3 linked regions of the Stegostoma tigrinum genome follow. The protein of the gene in region 1 interacts with the protein of each later gene in a pairwise test. Links are inferred from orthologs where the notes say so. Each region holds a gene or a part of one and is shown in the gene's direction. Other genes may lie near its edges. The genes, in order: srrm4, srsf11 and zrsr2.

Evidence for each region.
Region 2: the proteins of srrm4 (region 1) and srsf11 interact in binary tests that used the Homo sapiens proteins (3 or more experiments, as listed by UniProt). The link is inferred for Stegostoma tigrinum from reciprocal best matches to the Homo sapiens genes SRRM4 and SRSF11.
Region 3: the proteins of srrm4 (region 1) and zrsr2 interact in binary tests that used the Homo sapiens proteins (3 or more experiments, as listed by UniProt). The link is inferred for Stegostoma tigrinum from reciprocal best matches to the Homo sapiens genes SRRM4 and ZRSR2.

The regions. Positions count from the first base shown.
Region 1 is NC_081379.1:35,810,899-35,821,593, forward strand, and holds the start of srrm4 (serine/arginine repetitive matrix protein 4), read left to right. Parts: upstream 1-6,079; 5' UTR 6,080-6,098; intron 6,099-10,695. UniProt on the Homo sapiens protein: Splicing factor specifically required for neural cell differentiation.
Region 2 is NC_081361.1:52,971,923-52,983,162, forward strand, and holds the start of srsf11 (serine/arginine-rich splicing factor 11), read left to right. Parts: upstream 1-5,428; 5' UTR 5,429-5,639; coding exon 5,640-5,755; exon of another isoform or gene 5,756-10,465; intron 10,466-11,240. UniProt on the Homo sapiens protein: May function in pre-mRNA splicing.
Region 3 is NC_081365.1:79,360,396-79,371,195, reverse strand, and holds the start of zrsr2 (U2 small nuclear ribonucleoprotein auxiliary factor 35 kDa subunit-related protein 2), read left to right. Parts: upstream 1-5,816; 5' UTR 5,817-5,828; coding exon 5,829-5,860; intron 5,861-7,984; coding exon 7,985-8,064; intron 8,065-9,097; coding exon 9,098-9,167; intron 9,168-10,800. UniProt on the Homo sapiens protein: Pre-mRNA-binding protein required for splicing of both U2- and U12-type introns. Selectively interacts with the 3'-splice site of U2- and U12-type pre-mRNAs and promotes different steps in U2 and U12 intron splicing.

The DNA.
Region 1 (10,695 bases):
TCATGGCTCCTCATATCAGCTCCAGGCTTTGCATAAACAAAATAGGTTTGCACTCAATTCCTACTTAGTTGTTTACTGACATTGAGACATCATTGAACTTTTTATTGTCTAAAATAAGCATGATGCCTTCTCTAGGTTCAGAATCCACCTCCAATGCAGGGGAGCAAATATATGAGGATGACTCATAGCGCACCATGGCAAGATTTTGGCAGCTATGGTCGTGAACTTCATTGTGAAACCTCTAACAGTCAGCTACATTACTCTAAAAGCTTGAACATCTGTTGCCATCTTCACTTGTAAGAAAAATAGAGTATTCAGCTTTAAAACATGAAATGCTGTTTGCAAAAAATGCTTTTGCAAACATTCCTTATTTGCATTTCATTGCAAGAACGTTGGAGGATTGCTTTGATTTAGTTGGTGACCATGCCCCCATATAACTTGCACCCTTCATTCTTCTATTTCAAAAGGAGCTGAGTATTCTTGTGAACATGTCCATCCTCCTTTCTACCCTCCCAGCAATAGCACAATGTTCCTTTTACTGGTCAATGGCAACTCTTTACAGGTTGTTTTGTTGCCAGATTTTGTGTCTGCACCCATTTTTTCCCCCCAAGAATGATGTATGTCAAGCTTCCCAGGCAGTCATTAGATGCAAAGCGACCTATTCAAATCAGACATGGTGATGGTGTGTGGTGGGAGGAATGGGGAGTGAGGTTGACATGCCAGTCTCCCATTACAACATTTAACATGGCCTGTAACCTGCACAATGTGGGTTACACTAGCCTTGCATTTGCTATTTTTCCAAATCGAACCATAGAATGGGCCCAATATCCTTACTTCAAGAACTGGACTGAAATAGTCGTTCTCATCTGCATAAGATTCTTACACATAACATAGATAGATAGCCTTTATTTCTCATTCCAGGTAAGAGCTGAGCTCTGCTTTGTATTTGAGAAAATACTCAGTCAAGACTGCCAAAAGAGTTTGTACATAAAAGAGGGAAAATGGATAATGGATATTTCCCTTGAAATCATAGAGAGATGTCTTGAATGAATGGCTACAAAAGGATATGGTGACCCACTTGTGGAGAAGAGAAAAAAAAATCAATAAACACCTACTAGCAACCTTGAAATCAAATAGAGATTTCAAGAGAAACTTCTAGGCCCAAAGGACTGTGCAAATGTGTAGCTGCTTCCTACAGGAAGCAGTTGATGAGAGTCGGGATGATGATGTAATGAAGGTTCACCTTTACTGACAAGGGGAAAGGGAATTGAGATTTTTGCAGGTGTAGTTATGAAGAGGGATAAATGTTGGCATGGTGTTGTTAGGTTAGGTGGCCTATGTATGTATAGGATATTATATGTAATTTAAAATGTAATTATTAAAGATTAATCAGAATGCTAGAGAAGGTCCCTATATTGGAGGGGGCCTGCAGGATTTAGGCAGGATATAAACCACCTTCAGTGATATTTTAGCCACTGAGTTATCGCATTTTTATGTGATTCCCCTGCAAGCAATGCTCAGATATTTGTTTATCCATTTAGATTAAATGGTTAACAAATGCTTTAAACAGTGTTCAAACAGCACAGACAACATTTTATGTGAGCAAGAAGATTGCTGGCTGCGATTTTGACTCATTAGTTACTTAGCAACAACAGCTCAGTGATCCTGAGTTGTGGACAAGGTAATGTCCCAAACTGTTTAGTTCTTGCTGTTTGTATTGCTCGAGGTAATAAGGCCTTCTCATACAAGTGCTGCTATTTAAAATATCAATTTTGCACTGTCACCCCCTCCCACTGATGAAGGGCCATGTTATGTAGTATATTTTTTGCCAAATTTTATTTGTTCAGCATCTATAAGGGGTTGATTTTTTCTATTAAGAGGAAGTGAATACAACACCTGTGTAGATGTCCTTTTCAAAAGCACCGAAAACCCATACCATTAAACCTGAAGCTAAACACACAATTTGTCAATAGGAGCTTCAAAGTTGCTCTGATCTGGGTAATTCTGAGCTGCAGCATCCTTCAAAAAAATCTCCTCTCAGAAATTCATACATTAATTGGGTCGCTCAGCACAGTTGGATTTAAGCCTAATTTTTGAACCGTCAGCATCATGCACAATGCACAGAGTAGGGCAGAAATTCATACTTACCTGCAGACATTTTGCAGTATGCCAATTCATTATTTGGCTTTCTACAAACAGTAGAGGCCCACTAAAACAAATGGAATAAAAATATTTCATATACAAAGTCAATTTTCTGCAGGCGTTCTACAATGTGTGGTTAAATTGCGGCCTTGCTCATTGGTCTCTTGTTTCTTTCAAAGATCATACTCAGAACATACAATTATTCATTTTATGACATTGTGGTCATTATTTTACAAACAATGGTGTATTTCCTGATATATTCTCCTCCAAATCAGTGAAGATGTGGACCAGCAATGCTTCAGGATTTTTCCGTATTTGGGAATGGCAAAGTAGTGATAAAAAAGACCAGTAAAACTTGTATTGCACTTTCTTCAGTAATCATGAAGAATTTAACTCGTAGGTTTGTTGAACTAGAGATAACACTTGCATTGATATAGCATTGAGTCATTTTTAATAGCACTTAACAAACACCAACTGTCAAATGTGATCATCATTTGAGCTCCATCCAAAAAACATTTCATTTGATGTCTTGAAAGGAAAATCAAGCACAAAATTTTGTTGTATGACTAGTTAAGTTGGACAAGTTCAGTTGTCCTACCTGCAAATTAAATATTCAGAATTCATCTGGATTGAGATTAAGACTACCCCAATTGTTGTCTCTCTGATGGTCCTATCAGTTTGAGGGAGATATCACTCCAATGGAGCTGCAGCACTGATGGTGTTGTCACCTTGATGCAGCTGATGTTCTGAGAGTGCTGTCACTCTGACAGTGCTAACCCTCTCATTTTTTTCTGTCATGCTTATGTTGCTCAATTTCTGATGTATTAGTTTCAAATTATCTCCATATTAAAAGAGGAACGCTGTAAACACTTGAATTCTGGCTCCATCATTTATGTTCAAAACCAAGAGAATTTGTGACCCGAGGACACAGATTTAATTGATTGGCGAATGATGCAATTACTCTCAAGTTGTGATCAGAAGTGGTGTTACTGTTGGATGAGTCAGATCCCAAACTGAAATCTGGCTTGAGAGATCATGATTTTCTTTTCTTTTTATTTAACATGGTGTTTATTTTCACTGAAACATAGTTACATAAAATGCAGATTTAGTTTCAACAATAAAACAGAAGTTCATTATGCAAAAGAAATGAAGATAAAAATAACACAAAGCAAGCTGTTTACATACAATACAATTTGAAATATTTCTAAACACAAGGCAAAACAAAATTGCATCTATTTCAATGTCATCACATTACAGTTTGCAAATACCAGAAACAATTTCATTATTACAGCTATAGTTTCAGCTTGGATGCTTTCTTTCATTTCCCATTCTTGAGCAATTGTCAGCTTCTTCCTTGATTATAAATACAGCAAAGCATTTTATTAGCTCCAGATAACACCTTCAGCGTTCTAAACAAACACTTCTGGTCTGGACTTTAAAAGCCTATTTCTGAACTGACTCTTTCCTCCAAGAGAAACTGAAATAACATATAACACTAGCCAGGTATTCTGTGGACTAAAACCAAAGCTTTCCAAACCATGTGTTTTACCTCATCAAGAATCATTTCTTGATTCTTTTAAAGCAAAAGGAAGCTAATGGCTTTTAATGCTTGCACTCTCCATTAGTAAAACTTCCATAATAAACACAAATTCACATTTTCACATTACGTGGGTCCCAGTCAGCTGCTCTCTAACAGGTTTTAAAATGATTGCTTCAGAAATAGTAGTAAGTTAATCATTAAACCCTTTCAAATACAGAGACCAAAACCCAATGCCACTGATTCAAAGTCCAAACTCTAAAATAAATGGTAATAATATATATGTCACACACCATGCATCACATTCTACAGTAATTTACAGCAGAAAACTCGATAAACCTTTGAAAAGAGGATATCAGCTGGGTTGTACAGAATAAATGGGAAGGGGACATTTTCATAGATCTTTGAACAGGCTGACACAGTCAAGGTGAGCTATTCTGACTTCTGATGTTATGCATTTTGGACTACCAAATATTTCCTATGTTTGCCCAGCAAAAAAATCCATTTAATTTATTCCAGTTTGTAAAATAATCACGATGCTTTGTTGTTGGCAAATGAGACAGTGCCATCAAAGTGACATCTTCGATTAACAGCTCCACTGGAATTACAGCACCATCAGAGTGATAGCTCCAGAGTGAAAGCACCACCAGAATAACAGTACCAGAGTGAGTGTTGACAGAATGACAGCTCCATCGGAGAGACAACACCGTCTGAGCAACAACTCAGGAGTGGCAAAAGCTTCAGAGTGAACAGCATTGTCAATGAGTCAGAGCTTCAGAATGACAACTCCATCAAAGTGATAAAAACCACAGATTGACAACTCTATCATTGACTGAACCATCAAAGTGACAACAGAATCAGCATGTCAGCAATGTGACAGCAACAGAAACTTTGGAGTGTCAGCAATATGCGAGTACCAACGTGTTGCGAGATTAAATCCGTATCAAAGTGACAACACTTTTTGAGCAACAACTCCTTCAGAGCAAAAACACCATCAAAGTGACAGCATCCTTCGGAAGACAACCAGAGTTACAGTGCCAGAGAGATAGAACCATAAGAGTGACAAAAAGATTAAAGTGACAGCAAGATGAGGGTGATAACACCTTCAGAGATTCAGCAACATGGAATTGGCATCAGCATCAGAGTGCAGGTGAGAATAAGTGACCAGAAGGTGTGAGTGTGCCTGAAGCCAGGCTGAAATCTGATGAAAATGCTTCGGAGTTAATTAGTCATGAATATGAATCCTTTCCCTTCTTTTCTACCCAAGGAGGACTGATATAGTCTCTATTGTCTCTCACACAACTCCTTTACTTATTCATCTGTTATCTCTTGATGCATCAAATTATTAAATCTTAAATTGGCAGTTGCATTGGGAGTAGAATTCTTCCTGAGCTATGTAAATGCTTTTGTATTTCTTCACTACGATGGATAATGAACTCTTGAATTCTATGGCTGGTACTAACATATATTCCGAGTGCTAAATTTAATTTTTTACTTGAGCTATTAGTGTGCTATCCTCAACGCCTAGCAGGTTACCTGCAACACCTAGCACAAGATACATTGCAAATTATTGCTGTGCATTTTCATTAATCTTTAGTTGTCTCTTAGTTTGGTGAATTGCTGTCCTGATTGCAGTTGCTTTAAATTCTACTTTTTTATATTTAACAGTCTCCAGCTTACTATAAACCACAATTCTCCACATCATATTTCAGTCTACTTAATCTCACAGGCTTTATCTTTGCACTCCAAGATGTAGTTTTTGAATTTTACTCCCCACCAAATTTTCCCAAATTTCATTTAATTATGACTTGACGTCCTCTGTCATGCTACTTATTTATTAATTTCGTGTCTGCTAATGCCTTCACAAAGCCTCAAGGTAATCTTTCTTCCTTCCTATCTCCAGTTTATTTTCTGCAACCATCTTCAGATTACAGATTTGCCAGTTTTTAACATCTATAGGATAATGAACCTTTGGAGCATCTTCTTTTCCATTTGAATGGAGCCAAAACCATTACTTTACATTACTTCCTCTTTAAATCTTCTGCAAAAAAGGTCCTCAAATGATTCTTAACCTTCACTTGAAATGTCACTATTGTACTCTGATTCCTTTTGTATTAAAAAAAACCTCCTGCATGAAGCCTTCTTTTCCACTCCCATGATAAATTATGACACAGAATGCGTTGCATTTTCCTTCTGCCCCGTCTGCAAAATGTTATAATTGTATTTCCTATTCTCAAAGCTTGCCTTTTTTTTATCCATAACCCTGTTATTTGAATGTGTTTTGACCTAAATTACAGGCACCCCCTCCTCACACAGCCCACTGTCATTACCCATTCCACTGAGCAGACACTGGGATAATGACACTTGAACAGTTAGGAGCTCGTGTTGCCAGCAGAAAGCTGCATCTGAAGGGAATAAGGTTTGAGAGTCTTATATCTATTTCTTGTGATTGCCAAATGTCTTTGTTCCTGTTTAAAATGTATTTTCAGTGAGTTGTTAATCTGCTTGCTTCAAAACATATTAACACTGCTACTAAAATATTACATAAAATGTATGCCACAGAAACAGGTAATTCTGTCTAACTGGTCCATGTTGGTAATTTTGCTCTAAATGAGCTTCTCCTACACCTATTCACCTCACTTTCTATCCACAATACTCCTATTTTTCTCATATTTATTTAGCTGCCCCTTAAATAAAACTATAACTAGTCTGTTCAACTGCTTCTTGGAGAAGAAAGTTCCACAATTCAAACTATTCTCCATATGGAATGGGATCTCCTCAATTCCCTTTTATATTTGTGAATGACTTTATTTATTGCAGAAGGCATAAGTTACATTAGAAACTTAGATATGTTGTGTTAATGGATGAGACTAATGATCAATTTCTGTGGAACATGGATGAAGTTAACAATGTTCCTAATGAATTTAGCGTGAAATGAACATAAAGAAAATCAGAATACTTGCTGACTCTTATTAGTCATAAGCCAATAAATATAATGGTGATGATTTCAATTGATGGAAAGAAAGTGAAACAAGTGGGCAAATTTATTCATCCTAGATTAATAGAGACGCTAAATGTGATACTGAAATTTTCATAACAATTGAAGTAGCAAAACTGATTTCAACAAAGATAATAAGCCTGAGCCCAAGAAAATGTTAGCCCAGATCCCAGATCTGATCGACGCTTCTCAATGATTCTGCTGATATGTATCCAAATGGTCAAAAGACTCAAAGACTGAAAGGTGTCATCAACACTGCTTTCAAGCAACACCTGCTCAGAGATAATGGGAACTGCAGATGCTGGAGAATCCAAGATAATAAAATGTGAGGCTGGATGAACACAGCAGGCCCAGCAGCATCTCAGGAGCACAAAAGCTGACGTTTCGGGCCTAGACCCTTCATCAGAGAGGGGGATGGGGAGAGGGAACTGGAATAAATAGGGAGAGAGGGGGAGGCGGACCGAAGATGGAGAGTAAAGAAGATAGGTGGAAAGGGTATAGGTGGGGAGGTAGGGAGGGGATAGGTCAGTCCAGGGAAGACGGACAGGTCAAGGAGGTGGGATGAGGTTAGTAGGTGGCTGGGGGTGCGGCTTGGGGTGGGAGGAAGGGATGGGTGAGAGGAAGAACCGGTTAGGGAGGCGGAGACAGGTTGGACTGGTTTTGGGATGCAGTGGGTGGGGGGGAAGAGCTGGGCTGGTTGTGTGGTGCAGTGTGGGGAGGGGACGAACTGGGCTGGTTTAGGGATGCAGTAGGGGAAGGGGAGATTTTGAAACTGGTGAAGTCCACATTGATACCATATGGCTGCAGGGTTCCCAGGCGGAATATGAGTTGCTGTTCCTGCAACCTTCGGGTGGCATCATTGTGGCATCAGTGCAGGAGGCCCATGATGGACATGTCCTCTAGAGAATGGGAGGGGGAGTGGAAATGGTTTGCGACTGGGAGGTGCAGTTGTTTGTTGCGAACTGAGCGGAGGTGTTCTGCAAAGTGGTCCCCAAGCCTCCGCTTGGTTTGCCCAATGTAGAGGAAGCCGCACCGGGTACAGTGGATGCAGTATACCACATTGGCAGATGTGCAGGTGAACCTCTGCTTAATGTGGAATGTCATCTTGGGGCCTGGGATAGGGGTGAGGGAGGAGGTGTGGGGACAAGTGTAGCATTTCCTGCGGTTGCAGGGGAAGGTGCCGGGTGTGGTGGGGTTGGAGGGCAGTGTGGAGCGGACAAGGAAGTCACGGAGAGAGTGGTCTCTCCGGAAAGCAGACAGGGGAGGGGATGGAAAAATGTCTTGGGTGGTGGGGTCGGATTGTAAATGGCGGAAGTGTCGGAGGATGATGCGTTGTATCCGGAGGTTGGTAGGGTGGTGTGTGAGAACGAGGGGGATCCTCTTAGGGCGGTTGTGGCGGGGGCGGGGTGTGAGGGATGTGTTGCGGGAAATACGGGAGACGCAGTCAAGGGCGTTCTCGATCACTGTGGGGGGAAAGTTGCGGTCCTTAAAGAACTTGGACATCTGGGATGTGCGGGAGTGGAATGTCTTATCGTGGGAGCAGATGCGGCGGAGGCGGAGGAATTGGGAATAGGGGATGGAATTTTTGCAGGAGGGTGGGTGGGAGGAGGTGTATTCTAGGTAGCTGTGGGAGTCGGTGGGCTTGAAATGGACATCAGTTACAAGCTGGTTGCCTGAGATGGAGACTGAGAGGTCCAGGAAGGTGAGGGATGTGCTGGAGATGGCCCAGGTGAACTGAAGGTTGGGGTGGAAGGTGTTGGTGAAGTGGATGAACTGTTCGAGCTCCTCTGGGGAGCAAGAGGCGGCGCCGATACAGTCATCAATGTACCGGAGGAAGAGGTGGGGTTTGGGGCCTGTGTAGGTGCGGAAGAGGGACTGTTCCACGTAACCTACAAAGAGGCAGGCATAGCTGGGGCCCATGCGGGTGCCCATGGCCACCCCCTTAGTCTGTAGGAAGTGGGAGGAGTCAAAAGAGAAGTTGTTGAGTGTGAGGACGAGTTCCGCTAGGCGGATGAGAGTGTCGGTGGAGGGGGCCTGGTCGGGCCTGCGGGACAGGAAGAAGCGGAGGGCCTTGAGGCCATCTCCATGCGGAATGCAGGTGTACAGGGACTGGACGTCCATGGTGAATATGAGGTGTTGGGGGCCAGGGAATTGGAAGTCCTGGAGGAGGTGGAGGGCGTGGGTGGTGTCACGGACATAGGTGGGGAGTTCCTGGACCAAAGGGGAGAAAATGGAGTCCAGATAGGTGGAGATGAGTTCGGTGGGGCAGGAGCAGGCTGAGACGATGGGTCGACCAGGGCAGGCAGGTTTGTGGATTTTGGGAAGGAGATAGAAACGGGCCGTGCGGGGTTGGGGAACAATGAGGTGGAGGCTGTGGGTGGGAGGTCCCCTGAGGTGATGAGGTCGTGAATGGAGATGATGGTTTGGTGCTCGGGTGTGGGGTCATGATCGAGGAGGCGGTAGGAGGTGGTGTCGGAGAGTTGGCGTCTGGCCTCGGCGATGTAGAGGTCAGTGCGCCATACTACCACTGCGCCACCCTTGTCTGCGGGTTTGATGGTGAGGTTGGGGTTGGAGCGGAGGGAGGGGAGGGCTGCCCGTTCTGCGGGGGAGAGGTTGGAGTGGGTGAGAGGGGTGGAGAGGTTGAGGTGGTTAATGTCTCGACGGCAGTTGGAGATGAAGAGGTCGAGGGAGGGTCGGAGGCTTGGGGGTGGTGTCCAGGAGGAGGACATCCCCCTCTCTGATGAAGGGTCTAGGCCTGAAACGTCAGCTTTTGTGCTCCTGAGATGCTGCTTGGCCTGCTGTGTTCATCCAGCCTCACATTTTATTATCTTGGAATTCTCCAGCATCTGCAGTTCACATTATCTCTGATACTATTTTAACCTCTCTGCGAAGCCTCTTCCAGGGATGCCTAACCTGAAGAAGTTACCCTCCTCCCTCCGGACCAACCTCAGGGAATCTCTCTCCCATTGTAACTCTCTTGTAATCTCTTCGGCCTTGAAACTGCTCGACCATGTCCTGAAGCAAACCAGGTACCACAGCCACATCACCTTCCTCAGCACCTGCCTACGGAACCAGATCATCCCCAAGGGACTACAGTCCACATTTCAGCCTTCCCAATTTGGCCCCAACCGTGACCACCTCTACACCCAGAATATTCAGACCCTTCAGAAGCGTTTCTCCCTGCGAGTCCTGAAACAGACACTCGCAGCCATGCGCCGTCACCTCCAGGCACTGCAATCCAGCCTGCCCCAGCTCAGAGCCTCCGTCTCCCAGACCTGCAAAGGACCTCTGCTGTTTTTCATCCTCCACAGGATCCACAGACTGAACACCCAGTTCCACTCAGCTTTACTGGACACCAAAAATCGTAAGTACAACCAACTCACGGGCCCCTGCCACCCACAAGAGGATTCCTGCGCCTCCCAAATCCCGACTCTGTCCCTGCCCCTCCCCCACCATGCACCCGCCGCCATTGACCATGAGGACACGGCCGGAGACCCCACCGATGACGTCACATCGGCCTCCGCCGGCCACAGAACTTCCGGAACCGCTGCTGCAGTCACCACCTCCACGTCCAGGTACAACACCTGACACACCACCCTCACCGCAGCTGCTGCCGCCCACCCCGATCCTCCAACCGCCGACGGAACCCCGCCCACGGTCGACGCCGACGGAACCCCGCCCACGGCCGACGCCGGCGAAACCCCGCCCACGGCCGACGCCGACGGAACCCCGCCCACGGCCGACGACCTCATCGCTCCGCCCACAACCTCCACAGCCAGCAACCCCAGAGAAGACAGCCACACTGAGCCCTGCCGCATCTTCACCATCCCCCCAGACCTCCCACTGACTGAGGACGAACGGTCAGTCCTGAGCAAGGGACTCACCTTTGTCCCCCTACAACCACACATCAACGAATACCAGTCACGGTCGGACATAGAGCAGTTTTTCCGCCGTCTTCACCTCCATGCCTACTTCTTCAACTGGGAACCTAACCCTCCTTCCAGTGACCCCTTCACCC
Region 2 (11,240 bases), on another chromosome or scaffold:
GCTGGATGAACACAGCAGGCCAAGCAGCATCTTAGGAGCACAAAAGCTGACGTTTCAGGCCTCGACCGTTCATCAGAAAAGGGGATGGGGAGAGGATTCTGAAATAAATAGGGAGAGAGGGGGAGGCAGACTGAAGATGGATAGAGGAGAAGATAGGTGGAGAGGAGAATATGGGTGGGGAGATAGGGAGGGGATAGGTCAGTATGGCGAGGACGAACAGGTCAAGGGGTGGTGGGATGAAGTCAGTAGGTGGGAAATGGATGTGCGGCTTGAGGTGGGAGGAGGGGATAGGTGAGAGGAAGAACAGGTTAGGCAGGCTGGGATGAGCTGGGCTGGTTTTGGGATGTAGTGGGGGAAGGAGAGATTTTGAAGCTCGTGAAATCCACATTGATACCATTGGGCTGCAGGGTTCCCAAGCAGAATATGAGTTGCCGTTCCTGCAACCTACGTGTGGCATCATTATGGCACTGCAGGAGGCCCAGGATGGACATGTCGTCTAAGGAATGGGAGGTGGAGTTGAAATGGTTTGCGACTGGGAGGTGCAGTTGTTTACTGTGAACCGAGCGTAGGTGTTCTGCAAAGCGGTCCCCAAGCCTCAGCTTGGTTTCCCCAACGTAGAAGAAGCCACACCGTGTACAGCGGATGCCGTATACTACATTGGCAGATGTGCAGGTGAACATCTGCTTGATGTGCAAAGTCATCTTGGGGCCTGGGATGGGGGTAAGGGAGGTGGTGTGGGGGCAGGTGTAGCACTTGCTGTGGGTGCAGAGGAAAGTGCCGGATGTGGTGGGGTTGGAGGGAAATGTGGGGTGGACAAGGCTGTCGCGGAGAGAGTGGTCTCTCCGGAAGGCAGACAAGGGTGAGGTGGGAAAAATGTCTTTGCTAGTGGGGTCAGATTGTAGATGGCGGAAGTGTCGGAGGATCATGCGTTGTATCCGGAGCTTGGTAGGGTGGTATGTGTGGACTAGGGGGATTCTCTTGCGGCGGTTATTGTGAGGGCGGGGTATGAAGGGATAAGGTGCGGGAGACACGGTCGAGGGGTTCTTGACCACTGTGAGGGGATCTCATCATCCTCCGATACTTCCGCCATCTACAATCCATCTACAAAGACATTTTTCCTTCCCCATCCTTCTGGAGAGACCACTTTTTCCGTAACTCCCTTGTCCGCTCCACACTCCCCTCCAACCGTACCACACCTGGCACTTTCCCCTGCACCTGCAGGAAGTGCTACACCTGTCCCCTCACCCCCATCCCAGGCCCCAAGATGACTTTCCATATCAAACAGATGTTCACCTGCACATCCGCCAATGTAGTATATTGCATCTGCTGTACACGGTGTGGCTACCTCTACATCGGGGAAACCAAGCTGAGGCTTGGGGACCGCTTTGCAGAACACCTACACTCGGTTCACAGTAAACAACTGCCCCTCCCAGTCGCGAACCATTTCAACTCCCCCTCCCATTCCTTAGACGACATGTCCATCCTGGGCCTCCTGCAGTGCCATAATGATGTCACCCGTAGGTTGCAGGAACAGCAACTCATATTCCACTGGGGAACCCTGCAGCCCAATGGTATCAATGTGGATTTCACCAGCTTCAAAATCTCTCCTCCCCCCACTGCATCCCAAAACCAGCCCAGCTCGTCCCAGCCTGCCTAACCTGTTCTTCCTCTCACCTATCACCTCCGTCCACCTCAAGCCGCGTCTCCATTTCCTACCTACTAACCTCATCCCGCCCCCTTGACCTGTCCGTCCTCCCCGGACTGACCTATCCCCTCCCTACTTCCCCACCCATACTCTCCTCTCCACCTATCTTCTCCTCTCTCCATCTTCAGTCCACCTCTCCCTCTCTTGCTATTTATTTCAGAATCCTCTCCCCATCCCCTTTTCTGATGAAGGGCCCAGGCTCGAAACGTCAGCTTTTGTGCTCCTAAGATGCTGCTTGGCCTGCTGTGTTCATCCAGCCACACAGTTTGTTATCTTGGAAGGGGAATCAACTCCTTTGTGAAAAGAGAAACAGTGTTAATATTTGAGTCTGAAATGTCTCTTCTTCTGAAGTCATACCAGGCTCAAAATATTAAATTTCTTTCTCCCTCTGTGGATGCTGCTCAACCTGCTGTGTTCTCCAGTATTCTGTGCTGGTTTCAGAGTTCCAGCATGCACTGTATTTTGCTTTTATTTGAATCAACTTCTTACTGTTGGCATCAGTCTGAAGCACATTGACATCATGGATAAGAATGGGAAGCAGCAATGAAAGTAACAGGAGATTTACCTGCAATATAAACAGAAACATACAAGCTTCTACAAGCACAAGTGGACATGCAAGGTCTCAGTTTAACATGTTATGCGTACAAAAATATCTATGATATTTTAACACTCCCTCAGTGCTACAGTGGAGTGGTTGACTACACTTTGCGTTCAAGTCACTAAAGTGATATTTGAACCCAGTGAACCAACACTGAGATTGAGAATGTCTATAAAGTGAACAAAAGCAACAAACACAAGACTGATGTATGGCGTAACAAAATTTACTTGCAGCATAATGGCTCAGAGGTTAGCACTGCTGCTACGCAGCACCAGGGACCCAGGTTCAATTCTACCCTCAGGTGACTAGCTGTGTGGAGTTTACACATTCTCCCCATACCTGTGTGGGTCTTCTCCCTCACTCCAAAGATGTGCAGGATAGGTGGATTGGTTATGCTAAATTGCCCATTATGTTCAAGAATGTGTAGATTAGGGGTGTGGACTTGTTGGGCTGAAGGGCCTGTTTCCACACTGGAGGGATTTGATGATAATTTTGACATTTTGCAGCAAAACTGAATACAGTAACATACTAAAAAGTTAAATCGGCAAATACAATATTAAAAAAGAAAATGCATTAGTATTTTGTGAAGATTGTATATTAAAATAAAAATGTACTACTATGTCACAAATGATAATGGAAATACTCATGTTTATAGAATCATAGAATCCCTACAGAAGGATGCCATTCTGCCCATCAAATCTGCATCTGAGGAGCATCCTACCCAGACTCAGCCACCTACCGCATCCCCATAACTCCACATCTACCATGGCTGATCCTGCACATCTCTGGACACTACGGACAGTTTTAGCATGGCCAATCCACCTAACCTTCACATCTATGGACTGTGGGAGGAAACTCACACAGACGTGGGGAGAATATGCAAACTTCACACAGTCACCGAAGGCTAGAATTGTACCCCAATCCCTGCAAAGGCTGCTGGCAGTTTTTGATGGCGTTCTATGTATTTAACAACTGTCTCACTTCCTAGTAGCAGAGGAATCCTTTAGATTGTTGAAAGTGTTCTCTGCTGAATACTTTTGCAAGCTTATTCAGTAGCTTTCAGCAGACAGCTGTCAAACTGAACTTGGAGAGAGAATATATGATTTAATAACTTACATTTACACAAAGAAATTGGAAACAAAAGAAAATGCATGTGACATCTGTTTCTTATTCTGTCTCTGAACTAAAAACATACTTAGTTTTTCAATATTATCAATTTCTAAGACCTCCTCCTCATTAGAACTACCATATAGCAGCTTTTTTAAAGCTGGAATTCATCTAGGTTTGACCATCATGTGAAAAATGTTTCATTCTTTTTCCTGATAATTGCCTGTTATACCTACACATTAAGCTTCTTTACGTAGGTTTTCCCATTAATGGTTCGAAAATAGCTTTTTACCTCATTAAAGAGACATTGACATTTTTTATTTAGGTTGCCCCCCAAAATATTATTGTTTCAAGCTTCAACTTTAATATTTGCAGGTGGTAATGATATTAAGTGGAGAAAAAAATACTGTGTCATTCCATTGAAAACGAGAGATATATAATTTTGAAATTATCAAGTACTCAGTTTGATTCATTGATTCTCAGAAAGAATATTGGGATTGAAGGGGACTCAGGTAATTGAAACATTTCCTAAGGAGGGATGTTGAAGGAACTGTGATAAATTTCCAAGTCAAAATGGTACATGACTAGTGTTCCATGTCCTTGTTGGTGCCCTTGTTGTCTTGGGTGGTGTAAGTCCCGAATTGGAAGGTGCTGTGGAAGTAGCATTGAAAAATGTTTGTAGTGCATCTCTAAAATGTACACACTCCAGCTAAATGTTTGAAGTGGTAGATATGGTGCAATTCACCTTGCCCTAGATCTTGAACAGAAGGAATTGTACTTATTCAGGCAAGTGAAAAGTAATGCATCACATTCCTGGTTTGTGCTCTGTAAATAGTGAAAAGCTTTGTTGAGTTAGGGGATGAGTAAGTTGTTGCAGAATTCTCAGCTTCTGACCTGGACTTGTGGCATGATAGAACATAGAACATAGAACATTACAGCACAGTACATGCCCTTCAGCCCTCGATGTTGTGCCAACCTGTCATACCGATCTGAAGCCCATCTAACCTACACTATTCCATGTATGTCCATATGCTTATCCAATGACGACTTAAATGTACCTAAAGTTGGCGAATCTACTACCATTGCAGGGAAAGTGTTCCATTCCCCTACTATATATGGTGGTTGTTCCAAGTTTCTGCATGGTCAAGGGTTACACACAGATGTTCATAGAGCAGGATTCAGCAATGCCTTTGAATGTTATGGGGAAGTGGTTAAACTTTCTTTTATGCATTGCTTGGAACTTGTGTGGCATGAGCATTGCTCATTTATTTATCTACACAAAAGTTGAAAGTTGTCCACATTGCTGCTGCATTTGGTTAGAAGCTTCTCACCACTTTACAAAATACTAATTTGAAACATTAACTGTGCTTTCTCCACAGATGCAGCCTGTCTTACTGTTCACAACACTTTCTATTTATATCAGTGATAATGGGAACTGCAGATGCTGGAGAATCCAAGATAACAAAGTGTGGAGCTGGATGAACACAGCAGGCCAAGCAGCATGTCAGGAACACAAGGTGCTCCTGAGATGCTGCTTGGCCTGCTGTGTTCATCCAGCTCCACACTTTCTAAATCCTCTGGGAATATATTTCAAATCTCTGAAGCATTTGTTGTGGGAAAAGCACTGCACCAAGAAACTGAAAATGACAGGCACTGAAGAGGAAGAAAACTTGACTTCTTTTGTTGATAAATAGAAAGACCGTAAAGGCAGTAATGTTGGTATAAAACAAAGAACTGTGGATGCTGGAAATCCGAAACAAAATAAATATTGCTGGAGACACTCAGCAGGTCTGGTAACATCTGAGAAATATTGACTCTGCTTCTCTCCACAGATGTTCCAAGTCAGAAATGTTATTTACTTTGCATTTCTTTTGTGATGGTAAATGCTCCGAAATCTCCTGAAAATGGTAGTCGCTTAGGCCGGATTTTTAGGCAGAAAGATATTCACTTCCGTCCGCCCGCCGCCAGGGGAAGGAAGGATCGTGCTGCGCTTGCGCGTTGAATCGCGCCGGATTGTGGGATACCGCGGAGCCTGCCCGTTGTTGTTGAAGGTTTCGGGGCGAAGACCCGGGAGTTTGCAGTGCCGATTAAATTATCTGTGAATTGTCATATATAGTTTATTTTCTTCTGTATTCTTAATGTCTTAGGTTCAAGAAAACGTCGTTGAAAAAATTGGATCGAGAAAGTAATTACTTTAAAAAAAATAAAACCTTTATTTAAAAACGCGAGATGGCTACAGACGTCATTCAAGTGACCAATGTGTCGCCGAGCGCCACCTCGGAGCAGATGAAAACTCTGTTCGGGTTTCTGGGCAAAATCGACGAGTTGCGGCTCTTCCCATCAGAGTGAGTAACTCCAAACTTCCAGACAGGCCTGGGGCCTAGCCCGCGTCGGATCCGCTTTTAAGACTTTTCCTTTTTGAGTGAAAGTAAATTTCTGTTGGGCGTACGTTTTATGAGCGTACGACTTGATATAATCCTTGAGTGAAAGTATTCACTTTTTTCTTCCTTTCCTCGTAAACGATTACGAAGTAGCAATTTTTCTCCTCTATTGTGTGGCGTTTGGACTCGCTGCCATCTCATACGCGTCATCTCCTTTATTCCCACCACATGTTCCAAGCTGTTTTTATCAGGATTCATATCGACGGTGTTCTTTGAATAAAAAAAATGAAACGAGAATGTTCTTATTTGAAAGATGTTTATTTGAAGGTACCCAAGCTTTGGAGGATTTATTATTACCGGGGTAAAGCAAAATGGCCGCCAATGTAACACCTTTCGTCAATCCTGTCAGACGATCCTTGTTTTCGATCGTTATTGTTCAATGATGTTGTGAACTTACTACTAATCATTATTAAATGTGTTAAACAGTGTTTTGAATAAAATTGGCTACATTTTGTGAGGAAAAGAAAAGCGCGAGCAGTTCAGAAGCAGACTTCAAGTGTCGTACGGCCTACACCTCGTGTTTCTTAAGTGTGGGGAAGTAAATAGGCTACTGAAGGAGAAATGGGCGTATGACAACACAAGTAAAGTGAAATTTTCATGGTCTTACAAAAGCCGTTAGCCATTGACTCAATTTGTAATTTCGGCCGAAAAACAGACGGAATTAAAAAATGAGAGATAATGGAAACTGCAGATGCTGGATGAGTCGGTTTTTATTTTTAAAAGTGAGAAAATTATAACTGATTTTATTGTTGTCAAGACTTGACAACATCTTTTGAAAGGAACGCACATCGGTAAATGCATATTACGTTAGAGAAGGATGATTCTGAACATTAAACATTTTATCCTTTTTCGAATATTGCTTGAGACTCTGAATCATTATATTTGTACAGTGTTTATTTATAATACTTGTATATATTTATGATTTGTTCTCTCCTGAGACTTGGTTGTTAAAGTGGCATTATTGGCACGGTGAACAGTTCCCTGTAACATTTTAATTACGTTGCTTAATTATCTTTTCAGGTATTTTCTGTTTGTTTCCTTAGGCAAAGATGTACATGCTTTAAACCTGAAGATTTAAAGCTCGTGAAGATTTGTAGCTTGGGTTGTGGATGAAGTTGTTGGCTTGCTTGCTGGGTTGGTTGTTGTTCAGAAATTTCGTCACTGTGCTACTTAACGTCATCAGTGCGGCCTCCGATGAAATGATGATGTTCTACTCCGAGATAATAGGAACTGCAAATGCTGGAGAATCCAAGATAACAAGGTGTGGAGCTGGATGAACACCGCAGGTCAAGCAGCATCTTAAGAGCAGGAAGGCTGACATGTTACGTTTCTGATGAAGGGTCTAGGCCCGAAATGCCAGCCGCCTTGTTCTGCTCCACTTGGTATTAATGTGATCCGGTCTGTTAAGTTGGGCTGTGTCATTTCCAGTTATGTTCTGCATGGGTTTGTATATTAGGTCTAATTCCACATGTTTGTTGATTGCGTTATGGATTGAAAACCAGGCCTCTAGGATTCCCCGTGTGTATCTGTGGCTGGCTTGAGCTACGATGGTCACACTGTCCCAGTTAAATTGATGGCCTTTATTGTCTGAGTGCCGAGACGAGGGACAGTTCGTCGTGTCGTTTTGCTACTAGCTGATGTTTATACACCCTTATGCAATCAAAAACGTGTGACATTAGACCCCACATACAAACCGATGCAGAACAGAACCGGAAGTGACTCACACCAGCTTAACAGACCAGATAGTAAAAATACCAAACGGAGTAGAACAACATTGCTTCATTGGAGGCCGCACTGGTGTTACCTAGCATGGCGTTGAAACGTCTTTGTCATAACTAGCCAGATCAGCGAGCAAGCAAACAACCTTAAACCCGAAGAATTTGGGTACGGATTGACTTAAAAATTTTTGAGGTTGTTATGCATAAAGATAGTTTCAAATATTATTTTTGTTAAACTTGGTGACTGATTTATCATAGCTACTTCCTAATTTTTGATATCAGAGGTATACCTCTTATCCCTTCATAAATCAGCTAACTTATTAACTAATGCTTTTTTATGCTCAACAGTTACTTGCTGGATAATGGTTTTCTGGAAGTTTTTTTTATGAACAAAGATGACTTAACCAGAGTCCAGAGGACAGCACTGCAGGGAAGAATAAATTATCACTGCTCGTAAAATGATGCTAATATTTAGTCCAGTGTCTAGATGATTTGGAAAGAAGAATAGGGTATTCCATAGTTCTGAGATGGTATAAGTGACAAGATTGGACCACAAGATTCAGGGGTGTCTCGGCAGGATATATGTGGAAAGCATATTTCCTCTTGTGTGAGAGAGCTAAGTGTCAATGCTTTAAAAATAAGGGATTAATCTTTTAAAGACAGGAAGATTTTCTTCCTACAAAGAGTCTTGGGACATTTCCTCAAAAGGTATTAGAAGCAGAGTATTTTGAATGTTTTTAAGACAAATGTTGATTAGATTTCAGATGAGTAAAGTATGAAAGGTTATAGGGATAAGTGTGAATTTTGAGTAAATCAACCAACCAAACTCTTATTGAATGGTGGAGAGTTAACTTCCTAGTTCAGATGTTCACATTATACTTAAGTCTTGATTCCGATGTTGGCACAAGAGACAAAATCTTAGATGGGATCAGGGTTTTGAGTTTGAACTTAGTGTAAAATAAGAGGCTGTGAATATAATCTCTGTTGAAAATAGTTTATATGTAATTCCATGGCAGGAGTGGCAGTCTGTCCACAAGCATAATATCCTGCTGACACAATTCAAGTATGATTGACATTTACAATTTAAAACTGCATGATATACAGTTGATATCAACTTGTGTAAACAGTTGTCTGGTAATTATAAACAGGCCTCCTGGTTCTAATGGAACTGTGGAATGAATTGCCCAGGTCTATCTACTATTTTCTCCCCTTGTACATAAGTTTTTTTTTTAAGTTTAATCTTTTTGTGTTTATTTTTAATAATATCTTTCTCTGCTTTCCTCCGGTTTCCCAGACTTCTCCCCTTCCACTCCATAAAGACCAGATAATTAAAATGCTGGGCTTTGCCAGAACACCTGGAGAAATGCTAGTTCATAATAGAAGAGAGTGCGCTATAAAATAGCAGGTGAGCTTAGTAAATTGGGGAATCACTTGCAGACAGAGTCCAGAGAGCTGCTAAAATATTTTGAGTTAGAAGCAGTTTAGTTTCAAGGAGTTGTGTAAAATACAGTCATTACTTCAGGTCAAAAAAAAAAGTGAATGATGGAGAATTAATGTAGAGGTGGATTTGGAGGCTATTTCGTGAGGTTAGGTGGAGCTTAGGAAAGTGTTCTGATTTCAGTTTTTCTGGATATTTACTGGGAGAGATTTTTAGCTGGTGATATGGCTTGCAGCTTAGAAGTTGGCACACAGCATTTGCTTTGGCTTACACTTGAGGCAGAGAAAAATATGAGCTTCATTATTGGTCATATGCAAAGGTGAATGAAGCTTAATTTCAGTTTGAATCTTGAACAGAAGGTGAAAGATTACCTCGTTTGAAGCTAGTGCGGAAATTCAGTTGGCCTCATTGTCTTATTGCAAAAGTAAGTGGATTACCTTGGAGTGTTGGAAAAGTAGCTAAAAAAGGGACTTGGGCTTCCATGGTCAAGAGAGAACAGGGCAAGTTTTACCTCAGAATTGCTGGAGCTAAGAATGACTTTGGTCTTGATGGCAGTAAATAATTTTAAGATTGCCTTGTAAGAAAGCTTGAGGCAAGTGAAATGCAGACCTGTGTACAATATAAACTAAGCTATACTGATAATCTAATTGTACTTCTGTTTAATTTGTTCAATATATGTATTTTTTTAATTGAAATCTTGTGGCGTAGTTTTACTTGTTAAAAGGTGGTGTTTGAATTCCTTTTTGAATATTAAGTCTTTGGACACGAATGCCACCTGCCCCGGTGCTTAAATTGCTGCTTTGTTTTCCAGCTGCACTGTTTAGATTATAATAGCCTGGTACATAAATTTCAAATTTCTCTTGTGGTCTCCTTTCTAAATGTAAGTACCTGCAACCCAATACTTTTTTATAATTGTATATAATGAAATCATTAATCTGACAAGTTTAACATTTCTCATTCTCCTATCAGAACTAATTATACACTTAAAACACAACATTATATTTCAGAAGCAGTTCCTTCATTATATAATGTTTTGGGATGCCTTAAGACTTGAAAGAGCACGTTAATAGTTAGGATAAACAATCCTGCGTTAATGTAATACTGCAGTGTACTGAATGGCTCAGTAAACAGCAGTGCAAGTGTAAAGGGGATTAGTCTCTCGGACATCTCTGCAGGTTTAAAACTCAGCATGCGGTTTGCTTAGTGGAAGCTGGTACTTATTAACTGTTTCCAAACCACAGCCCATCTGCATGGTCAATTAATATTGCGCTCAGTGCCAAGTGAAACATAACTTAGTTTTGATTGGCCTTTAAGGATGACCATGTACTGATGTTACTTCTTGTTTTCTTGTAACTAGCTCTGTGAAATGTCATTTACTTCTGGGAAGTATTCCATGTGCTGTTGACATGCGTGCGCGCGCACACAAAATAGCCTTCCTTCATGACATCAGACTTTGATGTAAGTGATTTTGCAGGGCACCTTAACATGCCTTTGTATACCTACGTGAGATTAAAGCTATGGTGTCAGTGTTGCCTAACAAATGATCTCTGGACTCCTTGTCAAGTGAGGTAGTCTTATAGAACTCACATTAGGATGGAGTTCTGATTGTGTGTTTTTAGTAGAGACTATTTGCTTGTCAGTGAGGTCAGGCATTAATAAGAAATTCTACACTTGTAAATCTGTGATCTGATAAAGATTTCACAGATTTAGCACCAAGCTCATGGTGTACAGGGCAGCAATGTAATCTGTCCTTCGGAATATCTAGGAGACGTTGTAAAATAGACAGAAAATCTCTAAAGAAATTTTATTGATGATGCCTGCACAATATCCTGCAAATCCAGGGCAAAATAGGTTCCCCATTATCAGTGCCCTCTCTCGAGCATTGAGACATTGGTTACAATTGATCAGCCGGTTGGGCAGCCCACATTGCTAAGTGTGTCGTGACACAAGACTTCCGTAACAGGTTCTCTGCTCTGAGCTTTCCGCAGCCCGTAGTTACTGAAAGTCGGAGGAAAATCTTTAAGAGCATGTCAAAGCCTCCATGAAAATATTAGAATATCTTCACTGGCTTGCCAGAATCACTTGCCCAAACTGTAATATTAGTATCTGCAAAAATCTAACCATTTAAAGCACCTCTGACAGGCCCAGATGGAGGCCGAGCAAAAGGAGCATTGCAGTATCATTCCACCCACCTGACTCAAAAGAACCACTTGCTCCATCCCTGTTTTGTGGG
Region 3 (10,800 bases), on another chromosome or scaffold:
AGAATAGCCAGGCCCGAGGAGTGACAGTCATTACACCCCCCCTCCGCCGCCCCCGACCAGATCGAAGGCCCACATGTCCAGGCGCCCAACCATTTCCCATACCTGCTGAGGTGCGGTATCCCGCACTCCTGCAGAAACAGGAGGTCCGCCTTGATGGTGGTCAGGTAGGCCAACGTGGACACACATCTCGCGGTTGACTTGACGCTGCGCACATTAATGCTCGCAACTCGTACCCCATTGTGGGCAGTGACCGCAGTACCCTCCCCAAGTCCAAGGTCCAGCCCCTCCATCTGTCCCTTCATGCCCATTGCCCAGGCTAACTGCTGGACGCTCTCCGGGCTCAGGAAACCGTCCGTGCTGCCTTCCGGGTGGCATCCCCCCATCGGGGGCACGGAGGGAGGAGAGTCCGGCTCTGGGTCAGGCTGGGGACACGCTGTTTCCTGCTTCCTGTCTGAAGGTTCCGGGGGGCCCTCCAAGGGGCGCGTGGCCTCAGGACGCCTCCCGTCACCTGGAAGCGTGGTGCAGCTTTCCTCCTCCCTGGAAATCTTCAGCTTCTGCTTTGAGCAGGCCTCCTCTGAATCCCCCTCGTCAGAGGAGCTCTTATAGCACCCCCGTAGCTGCCTCTTCCTGCCTGACGGTTGTGGTGCTGGGGCTCGCCGGCGCACCTTCCTCCTCGCCTTCCGGACCGTCGTCCACTCCCCTGGGTCACCTGTCGCCTCCTCCATTGACTCCGGTTTGTCGGGGGGAGCAGAGCCTGCAGGGGCGCTTTCCTGGCCTCGGGTCTGTCCTGTGGGGCTGGTCCCTCCTGCATGACCTGGCCCTCCTGCACATTAGGGGGGTCCTTGCAAGGGCCTTGTGCCTTCCTCTCCTCCAGGGGGGCTTCCCCCACATTGCCCCTGTCGGCAACCTGGGCATAGGTGGTCCCCTGCCACGGGCATGCCCTATAGAAGTGGCCCGCTTCCCCGCAAAGGTTGCAGCTTTTTTCTTTTGGGCAATCCTTTGCAAGGTGTCCCTCCTCCCTGCAGTTCCTGCAGATGGTGGCTTTGCAGTCGGCCGCCACGTGACCTGACCTGCCACAATGTTCCCGTCCTCAGCGTCACCCTGACCTGCCTCTTACTGGTCCAGATCCCAAAGGGGTCCATGATGTTGGTTAGGTCCCCTTCCACCTTCACATACCTTCCAAGGAAGGTCAGGACATCAACTGCTGGCACATGCGGGTTGTACATGTGTACAGTCACCATACGGCTCCTCTGCGCTGGCATCATGAACAGTGGGACAGCGGTCAGTACAGAGAGGGGGCCCTCACCTCCTTTCTCCTTGAAAACCTCCAGGAAGCGCTCGCAAAGCTTGGCACTCCTGAAGGTCACATCGTAAAAACCTCCTCCGGGGAAATCCTGCAGGCAGTAAATGTCCGCAGCAGTGAACCCATAACAGTCCAACAGGACCCTCTTCACGAAGAAGGTGCGGTCCACAGGTGCACCTTCATCCACCTTCTTCAACGGAAACACGGATGGTGTTCCGGACCCCCGACCCGGGGCACAAGCACTCGCCGCAGCCATCGTTGCAGGTTGGCTGCTCCCCTGACCCGGCGTTAGGCCGAAGCCAGCATTAAGATCCACTGGTTGCAAGGGTGCACAGCCAACCTGATGTCTTCCTTCCACCTCCAAAACAGTCATGCTCTCCTCCTCTCGGTCCACAAAAGAGTGGGTCTTTATTTTGTTCCGGGTGGAAGCTGGTTCACTGAGCTGGAATGTTCATTTTCAGAAGTTTCGTCACCATACTAGGTAACATCATCAGTAAGCGTCCGGTGAAGTGCTGGTGTTATGTCCCGCTTTCTATTTAACTGTTTAGGTTTCCTTGGGTTGGTGATGTCATTTCCTGTGTCGGTGATGTCATTTCCTGTTCTTTTTCTTAGCGGGTGGTAGATGGGCTCCAAATCAATGTGTTTGTTGATGGAGTTCCCGTTGGAATGCCATGCTTCTAGGAATTCTCATGCATGTCTCTGTTTGGCTCATCCTAGGATGGATGTGTTGTCCCAATCAAAGTGGTGTCCTTCCTTATCTGTATGTAAGGATACGAGTGATAGTGGGTCATGTCTTTTTGTTGCTGGTTTTTGTTCATGTATCCTGGTGGCTAGCTTTCTGCCTGTTTGTCCAATGTAGTGTTTGTCACAGTTCTTGCAAGGTATTTTGTAAATGACGTTCGTTTTGCTTGTTGTCTGTATGGGGTCTTTTAAGCTGACCTTCCAGCTCAGCGAGCAAACTCACATCCTGACCAGTCGTTGCTTGGAGCCATATGCAGAATAATAGCTCTTATTGTTTTTTTTAAAAAGCCATAATGTTTAAAGGAGTGTGTGGAGGACCTTTCCAATGGAAGAGCGAGTCCAAACAGGCAGGAGCAATGTTGTCGCGATGCACCGGGGAAGGTTGAAAGTTTGTTCGAACGGAAAATTATATACAACATGTCACACTATCCTGAGAGGGTAATGGTGATGCAGAGATTTGATGTCCGCATTGCAAAAGGTAGGGTCAGGGCTAGGAAACTGGAAAGCAAGGTTGAGAAGGGCATCAGGAGAGGCACAGATTGAAATGGGAAGAGAATGACAGGGATATTTCCAATATGGAAGTAATGCAATGAACAGGAGCAGTACTCATGGAATGGAACAGCAAATAGCACATCCTACAGCATTAAACATGGAGCAGTGCAGCACAGGAACAGGCCCTTCTGCCCACCATATTGTGCCGAACATGATGCCAAATTAAGCTAATCCCTTCTGCCTGGCCTTGGTCCATATCCCTTCATTCCTTGCATATTCATGGTCTCTTAAACACTTCCACCAAGCCCCCGCCAGGACAGTCCAAGCACCTAACCCTCTCTGCATAAAAATCTTGCCTCCTCACACCTCTATTGAACTTTCTCCCTTCATCTTAAATGCATACCCTGTAGTATTAGACATTTCAACTCTTGGGGAAAAAAGATTCTGTCTGCCAACCCTATCTATGCCTCTGATAATTTTATAGACCTCTATCAGGTCTCCCCTCACCCTCTGCTGCTCCAGAGAAAACAATCCTAGCTTGTGCAGTGTGAAGCTGGATGAACACAGCAGGACAAGCAGAAGAGCTCTCTGATGAAGGGTCCAGGCCCAAAACGTCAGCTTTTGTGCTCCTGAGATGCTGCTTGGCCTGCTGTGTTCATCCAGCTTCACACTTTGTTATCTTGGATTCTCCAGCATCTGCAGTTCCCATTATCTCTAGTTTTTCCAGTCTCTCCTTTTAGCTCATACCCACTAATCCAGGCAGCATCCTGGTAAACCTCTTCCGCACCCTCCCCAAAGCCTCCACATCATTCCTGTAATGTGGTGACCAGAAATGAACACAATACTTTAAGTGTGACCTAACCAAAGTCTTATAAAGCTTCAACATCATTTCCTGACACTTGCATGCCTGTGCAAACAAAATAAAACTGTACTCTTGAAGCTGTGCGCTTAACTTGTGATGACTTTTCTCAACTTGCCCTCTTCCAATAAATATTGGTGCATTTGACAAAATGTTAAGAATTCTCCCTCCTTGGGTTACTGGCACTGTGGGACTGCTAGTATGGGACAGCTAGTTCACAGTACAAGTTGGTGACAAGACTCGTGTCTGAAGGAAAAAGACAAATGGACTCCCACCACATGAAATTTGTGCACCCATTGACCTGCCTGCAAGTTTCTCTGTGTAGATGACATAGAATTAATCATAGAATCCCTACAGCATGGAAGCAGGCCATTCGGTCCATCAAGTTTGCACCGACCCTCCGAACAGCATCCCACCCAGATCCACACACCCACCCTATCTCTGGAACTCTGCATTCTGCATGGCTAATCCACCTAGCCTACACACCCCTGGTCACTGTGAGCAATTTAGCATGGCCAATTCACCCTAGCCTGCACACTTTGGGCTGTGGGAAGAAACAGCAACCGTCTAACTATTTTAATTTTTGTTTTCTGAAGAAGGGTCCTGACCCGAAACATCTACTTTCCTGCTCCCCTGATGCTACCTGGCCTGCTGTATTCCTCCAGCTCCACACTGTGCTATCTCTGACTCCAGCATCGGCAGCTCTTACTATCTCTTGGGCAGACTGGGGTTGTTTATCTTAGAGTAGAGGAGATTGAGAGGGGACATGAATGAGATGTATAAAATTATGAGGGGCATAGAAAGAGGAGGCAGGAAGAAACTTGTCATCTTGATAGAAGGATGAATGACCAGGGGCCACAGATTTAAGTTAAGGGTGGAAGGTTTAGAGGAGATGTGAGGAAAAGCTTTTTCAGCAGAGGACAGTGGGAATCTGGAACTCACTGTAAGTATGGTAGAGGCAGAAATCCTCGTAACATTTAATAAGTATTTAGATGTATGCTTGCGATGCTAAGGTGTACAATGCTATGGGTGAACGACTGGAAAGCGGATTTAGAATAGTTAGGTGGTTGCTTTTGACCCCCACAGACAAGATGGAATGAAGGCTGTGCAGATCTATATGACTCAGTGACCAGCAGTGTTAACATGAGTGAATGTTACACCCAATTTCAAGAGAGAAGTGCCGGGGCGGGGGGCTGTCTAAGCTGAGTATGTTAAACTTAAATAAATACTTAGGCATGAAAGCTGAGAGCTAGCTGAGGCAAATTGGGATATTAGACTAGGAGATAGAACAAGCAAGAAGCAGTGGCAACATTTAATAGGACACTTCAGAATACTCAAAGAAGTACATTCCTGTTTTAAAGTAAAATGCTATGGCATGCACCCACTGTCTGTGGTTAATTCGAGGCTCAGAAAAGCACTAATCTTAGGGGGGAAGAATTGTTAAAGGTGACCGGAGGATCAGATGACTTCAATATATAAAGAGCTAGAAATAATGACTAAAAGTTTAATTAGGGCTATTAATTCGCAGCATGAGGGGATGCTAGCTAGAAATGTAAAAAATAAATAAGATATTCCATAGGTTTTTAAAAGTAAAGCACCTGGATGAATACATGAATAGGAAGGGAATAAATGGATACAGATCCTGTAAATGAAAACAGTTTTAGTATGGAAGAACAAAATGTGGCAGCGGAGGCTTGATGGACCTGTTCCGGCGTATTGTGCTTTGTAAACAAGTAAGTAAAGTGAATGCTGACAACAGTGTATGGAGCTGGAGAAACACATTAGGGGAACAGGAAAGTTAACGTTTTGAGTCAGGCCCTTTTCTGACGATGGGTCCCAACCCAAAACGTCAACTTGCCAGCTACTTCGGTGCTGCCTGGCCCTCTGTATCCCTCCAGCTCCACACTTTTGTTATCCCCGTCTCCAGCATCGGCAGTTCTTGCTATCTCTGAGTAAATGAATGCTGGGGTGCGAGAGAGTGAGAATGGAGTGTTAATAGGAGATCATGCAGAAATGACAGAAAAAGTTAATAAATATTTTGCTTTGTCTGCAGTTTAGGATTATAGAAATTATCGCTCCATGAGGAAGAATCAGTACTGAGCAAACTGATTTGAATTGCGGTTGTTAAGTCTCACGGTCCTTGTTAGACTTAATCCTACGGACGTAAGAGAACTGACTAAGAATGCGACAATGTATTGGTTTGAGTTTCCAAAGTTCATTCGATTCTGCAAACTTTCTGGTAGACTGGAAAAGGAGCAAATATAACCCCTGTACTCAAGAAGAGGGTGAGGGTGGTAGGATAGAGGGGCAGCGGCTAGACCGGATCAGGAAGCCAGTAGCTGTAGATACCGAAAGGCGCTAGCCAAATGCAGCTCCCGTTCCAACCGCCTGGGGAGTGCGCAGGCGCGCGGCGCCCACGTGACTCCCGGCAAAATGGCGATGTTGGCGGAGCCTCCGAGGATCAGGTCAGTGTCAGAGAGGAAAAGTACACGGTGTATGTGCGTGTGTGGGGCGGGGGGAGGTTAAATCAGTAAATGTAGAGTGCGGGGGAGTGAAATATACCCGGTTGGGGGAGAAAAGAAAGCGGGCAACAGGTCAGTGTCTGGAGAAATAAATCATATAAATATACAGAAAGACGGAGAGTGTGTCTGTGTGTCTATGTATGTATTTATGTGTATGTATGTATGCGCGCGCGTGTGTGTGGGGGGGGGTGTGTGATGGGGAGAATGTGTCCACCCCCCAGGGAGGAGAAGCTGAGGAGCAGGTCACTGTCTGAGAGAAGTAAAAATAAACTATATATGTGTGTGTATATGTGTTGGAGGGGTAGGGTGGAACGAGGAGAGAGAGAGAGAGAAGTAACTGTGTGTGAGAGAAGTGTACACAGTGTGCGCGTGCCAGCGCGAGAGAGAAGTGTACACAGTGTGCGCGTGCCAGCGCGAGAGAGAAGTGTACACAGTGTGCGCGTGCCAGCGCGAGAGAGAAGTGTACACAGTGTGCGCGTGCCAGCGCGAGAGAGAAGTGTGCGCGTGCCAGCGCGAGAGAGAAGTGTACACAGTGTGCGCGTGCCAGCGCGAGAGAGGTGTACACAGTGTGCGCGTGCCAGCGCGAGTGAGAAGTGTACACAGTGTGCGCGTGCCAGCGCGAGTGAGAAGTGTACACAGTGTGCGCGTGCCAGCGCGAGAGAGAAGTGTACACAGTGTGCGCGTGCCAGCGCGAGAGAGAGGTGTACACAGTGTGCGCGTGCCAGCGCGAGAGAGAGGTGTACACAGTGTGCGCGTGCCAGCGCGAGAGAGAGGTGTACACAGTGTGCGCGTGCCAGCGCGAGAGAGAGGTGTACACAGTGTGCGCGTGCCAGCGCGAGAGAGAGGTGTACACAGTGTGCGCGTGCCAGCGCGAGAGAGAGGTGTACACAGTGTGCGCGTGCCAGCGCGAGAGAGAGGTGTACACAGTGTGCGCGTGCCAGCGCGAGAGAGAGGTGTACACAGTGTGCGCGTGCCAGCGCGAGAGAGAGGTGTACACAGTGTGCGCGTGCCAGCGCGAGAGAGAGGTGTACACAGTGTGCGCGTGCCAGCGCGAGAGAGAGGTGTACACAGTGTGCGCGTGCCAGCGCGAGAGAGAGGTGTACACAGTGTGCGCGTGCCAGCGCGAGAGAGAGGTGTACACAGTGTGCGCGTGCCAGCGCGAGAGAGAGGTGTACACAGTGTGCGCGTGCCAGCGCGAGAGAGAGGTGTACACAGTGTGCGCGTGCCAGCGCGAGAGAGAGGTGTACACAGTGTGCGCGTGCCAGCGCGAGAGAGAGGTGTACACAGTGTGCGCGTGCCAGCGCGAGAGAGAGGTGTACACAGTGTGCGCGTGCCAGCGCGAGAGAGAGGTGTACACAGTGTGCGCGTGCCAGCGCGAGAGAGAGGTGCACTCGCTGTGCGCACGTGCCAGCGCGAGAGAGAAGTGCACTCGCTGTGCGTACGTGCCAGTGCGAGTGAGAGTTGAGCGACTAGAAATTTGTGTGTGTCAGCATGAGAGAGAGAGTTGAGCGACTAGAAATTTGTACGTGTCAGCATGAGAGAGAGAGTTGAGCGACTAGAAATTTGTACATGCTGTACTTGGGAGAGGAACATCTGCGGTGTGTGCATGTGACAGTGGAATGTGCATTGTATGAACACGCGAGAAATATACACCCTTTGTGAGAGTGAGACAGAGGAAGAAGCACTGAGTATGCGCGAGAAAGATAGATCGAGAGTGTGACAGAAAAGTATAGACTATGTGAGGGAGAAAAACATTGGGTGAGAGTGAGAGGGAGAAACACATTGTATGTGAGAGGGAAAGGAATATATATGTGTGAGAAAATATGCATTGAGAAAACATGCTGTATGTGAAAGAAATATACTTAGTGTGAGAGAAATGTACAGATTATGTGCGGCTCATGCACACAATGCGAGAGAAATATATACTGAGGGAGAAAGTACTGAGTCAGTAAAAGAGAGAGGGAGAAAAATATAGTGTGAGAGAGAAAAATGTACACTTGCTCTTGTACTCAGTCGCACTTGCTGTCTCTCTCTTCTGTATCTCCCTGTTGCTTTCTGTCATTGCAGTCACAGGAAGGCACGAGCATTGCTGAAGAAGGAGAAGCGGAAGAGGAAGCGACAGGAAGAGGCCAAAAAGCGGCAGGCAGGTAGGAGCCCAGCCAGAAGGGGAGGCAAGCCAGAGAATTTGGGGTTGTGGGGTGTGGAGAAGGGAGATCAGGGAAAGATCGTAGGGGTGGGAAAGAGGGAGGGTATCCAGGTTAGGTCAGGGAGTGGAGGATTATGGTGGAAAAGGGGGTAGCCAAGGTGTGGGACCAACACATTTGGGATGTTGGTGGTGGGGTGCCTGCAGTTCCTGGGAGGTGGGACATATTATTGGTGGAACTTGGAAGAGTGGGACTCATGGGTGACTAAGGAGTCGTTGGGAGAGGGGGACCTGGGACAAGGAAGGAGCCCAAGGTGGGTGGGAGACCAGAGATTGGGAGGCGGTGGGTGCGGAACACTTCCTAGAACCAGAGTGGGAGTAGCGTGTTGGAGCCCTGGAGGGGAGAGGGAGGACCTTGGCAGGGGTCCAGTAGCGGGTGAGACGGTCTGGAAAGGTGTTGTGGGTGTCGGGGGGGTGGGGGGCATCTGATATGGGTTTGGGCTGGTAAAGGAGTCAGGTAGGACTGAGAAACTGGGAGATGTTGCTGGGCAATAGGAGAGAATCGGAGAGACCAGTACAAGGTGAACATGGACCTTATGTTCTGGAACAGTTAGAGAGAATGCTAGGGCTAAACAGTAGAAAATATAGTTAGTGTTATTTTAGGATTGAGTGCTGTTTATGACAATTTTTTTCTTTGTTCATGGAATGTAGACATCACTGGCTATCATTTAATGACCATTCTGATTTGCCCTGGAAAAGGTACTGTTGCCTTGAACTGCTGCAGACCTTTGCATCTTGGGACACTTGAGGATTCTGACCCAAAAGATTTTCAGGAGTTCCTCCCCCTCCCTCTCTTAACTGATATTGTAGGTTTTCCAGTGATCATGCTGAGATTGGGTCTTGAAGCGTGGGGAATATATATCAGCAGTTCTTTAATATATACTACACTAAAAATGATGAATGCCAATGCATTCAGATTCTATACACTTTCTCTTTCTGCCAGCTGCAGTTGTGGTATTATTTTAATTCTGTTTCAGAATTGGCTATTGAAGAGGATATAGAAGCAGAAAACCTTGAGGAAGAAGAAATAGAGTTGGAAGCTGAAAGGTCAGTAACCCTTGAGATCTAAGAGCCTTTCACTTTACCAAAAAAAGGTCTCAAATTCCATATTGGAATGAGGATTGTTGGCAACTACTGTTTAAAGCATCTGTCAAACCATGTTATTTAAATGTTAAATCTTTAAATGTTATAGTTTTAAAACAAGTTTCTCCTCTTTTAAATCAAATGGAAATAGTTGAACTGTCAGTGATGTGGATTGCTGTAGTTCCTGAGGAGTAAGTAAACTCAATTGGTTGATTTGGGTTTGATTGTTTTTAATATATTGTAATGTTAATTTCTGTGTCCCTTTTCTGATGTGCCAGTGACTCTTTGGATATAGAGACCAAACCTGGACACGTATCTCCTGTATTAATGTTCAGCTATTAGCACTCCTGTTTTGTATTGCTGACTGGGTCTTTTGAAGACAAAGAAATTGATGAAAGCGGAGCTGTAGACATTGTCTATATGGAGTTCAGCAAAGCGTTTGATAAGGTTCTACATAGGCTAGTTAGTAAGGTTAGCTCACGTGGGATCTGGGAATGCTAGCCAATTGGATACAAAATTGGCTTGAAGGATTGTTTTTCAGATTGGAGGCTATGACCAGCAGTTAGTCACAAGGATCGATGCTGAACCCACTGCTTTTCATCATTTATATAAATGATTTAGATGTGAATGCAAGCAGGAATGATCAGTAAGTTTGAGCTGACACCAAAACAGGAGGTGTAATGGACAATGAAGAAGGTTATTTCACAGTACTATAGGACCTTGATGGGCCAATGGGCTGAGTAGTGGCAGATGGCATTTAATTTAGTTAAATGTGAGGCATACCAGGGCAGGACTTATACACTTAAATGATAAGGCCCGAAGGAGCGTTGCTGAAGAGAGACCCAGGGGTGCAGGTGTACAGTCTTGAAGGACCTTACATAGTGGAAACGGGCCATTTGGCTCGTTGAGTCCACAATGATCTTCCGAAGGTATCCAATCCAGACCCAATCCCCTACCCACCTGAAACCCTGCATACCCATGGCTAACCCACCTAGCCTGCACATCCCTAGACACTATGGACAATATAACATGGGCAATTCACCTGAACTGCACATGTTTGAACTGTGGCAGGAAACTGGAGCACCCAGAAGAAACCCATGCAGACATAGGGAGAATGTCTGTGTGGAGTTTGCACAGTCAACCAAGGATAGATTTGAACCTGGGTCCCTGGTGCAGTGAGGCAGCAGTGCTAGCCACTGAGCCACACATGGTAGACAGGGTGATGAAGAAGGTGTTTGGCAAGCTTGCCTTCATTGGTCAGAACATTGAGAATAGGAGTTGGGAAGTCATGTTGCAGCTGTACAGGTCATTGAAGCCATTTCTGGAATACTTCATATAATTGTGATTGCCCTTCTATAGGAAGGATATTGTTAAACTTGAGAGGGTACAGAAAAGATTTACAAGGATGTTCCCTGAATTGGAGGGTTTGAGCTACCGGAAGTGGCTGAATAGGTTGGGGCTTTTTTCCCTGGAGTGTCGGAGACTGAGGGGTGACCTTATAGAGGTTTATAAAATCATGAGGGGCATGGATAGCATGAATAGCCAAGGTCCTTTTTCCAGTGTAGAGTGCAAAACTATAGGACACAGATTTAAAGTG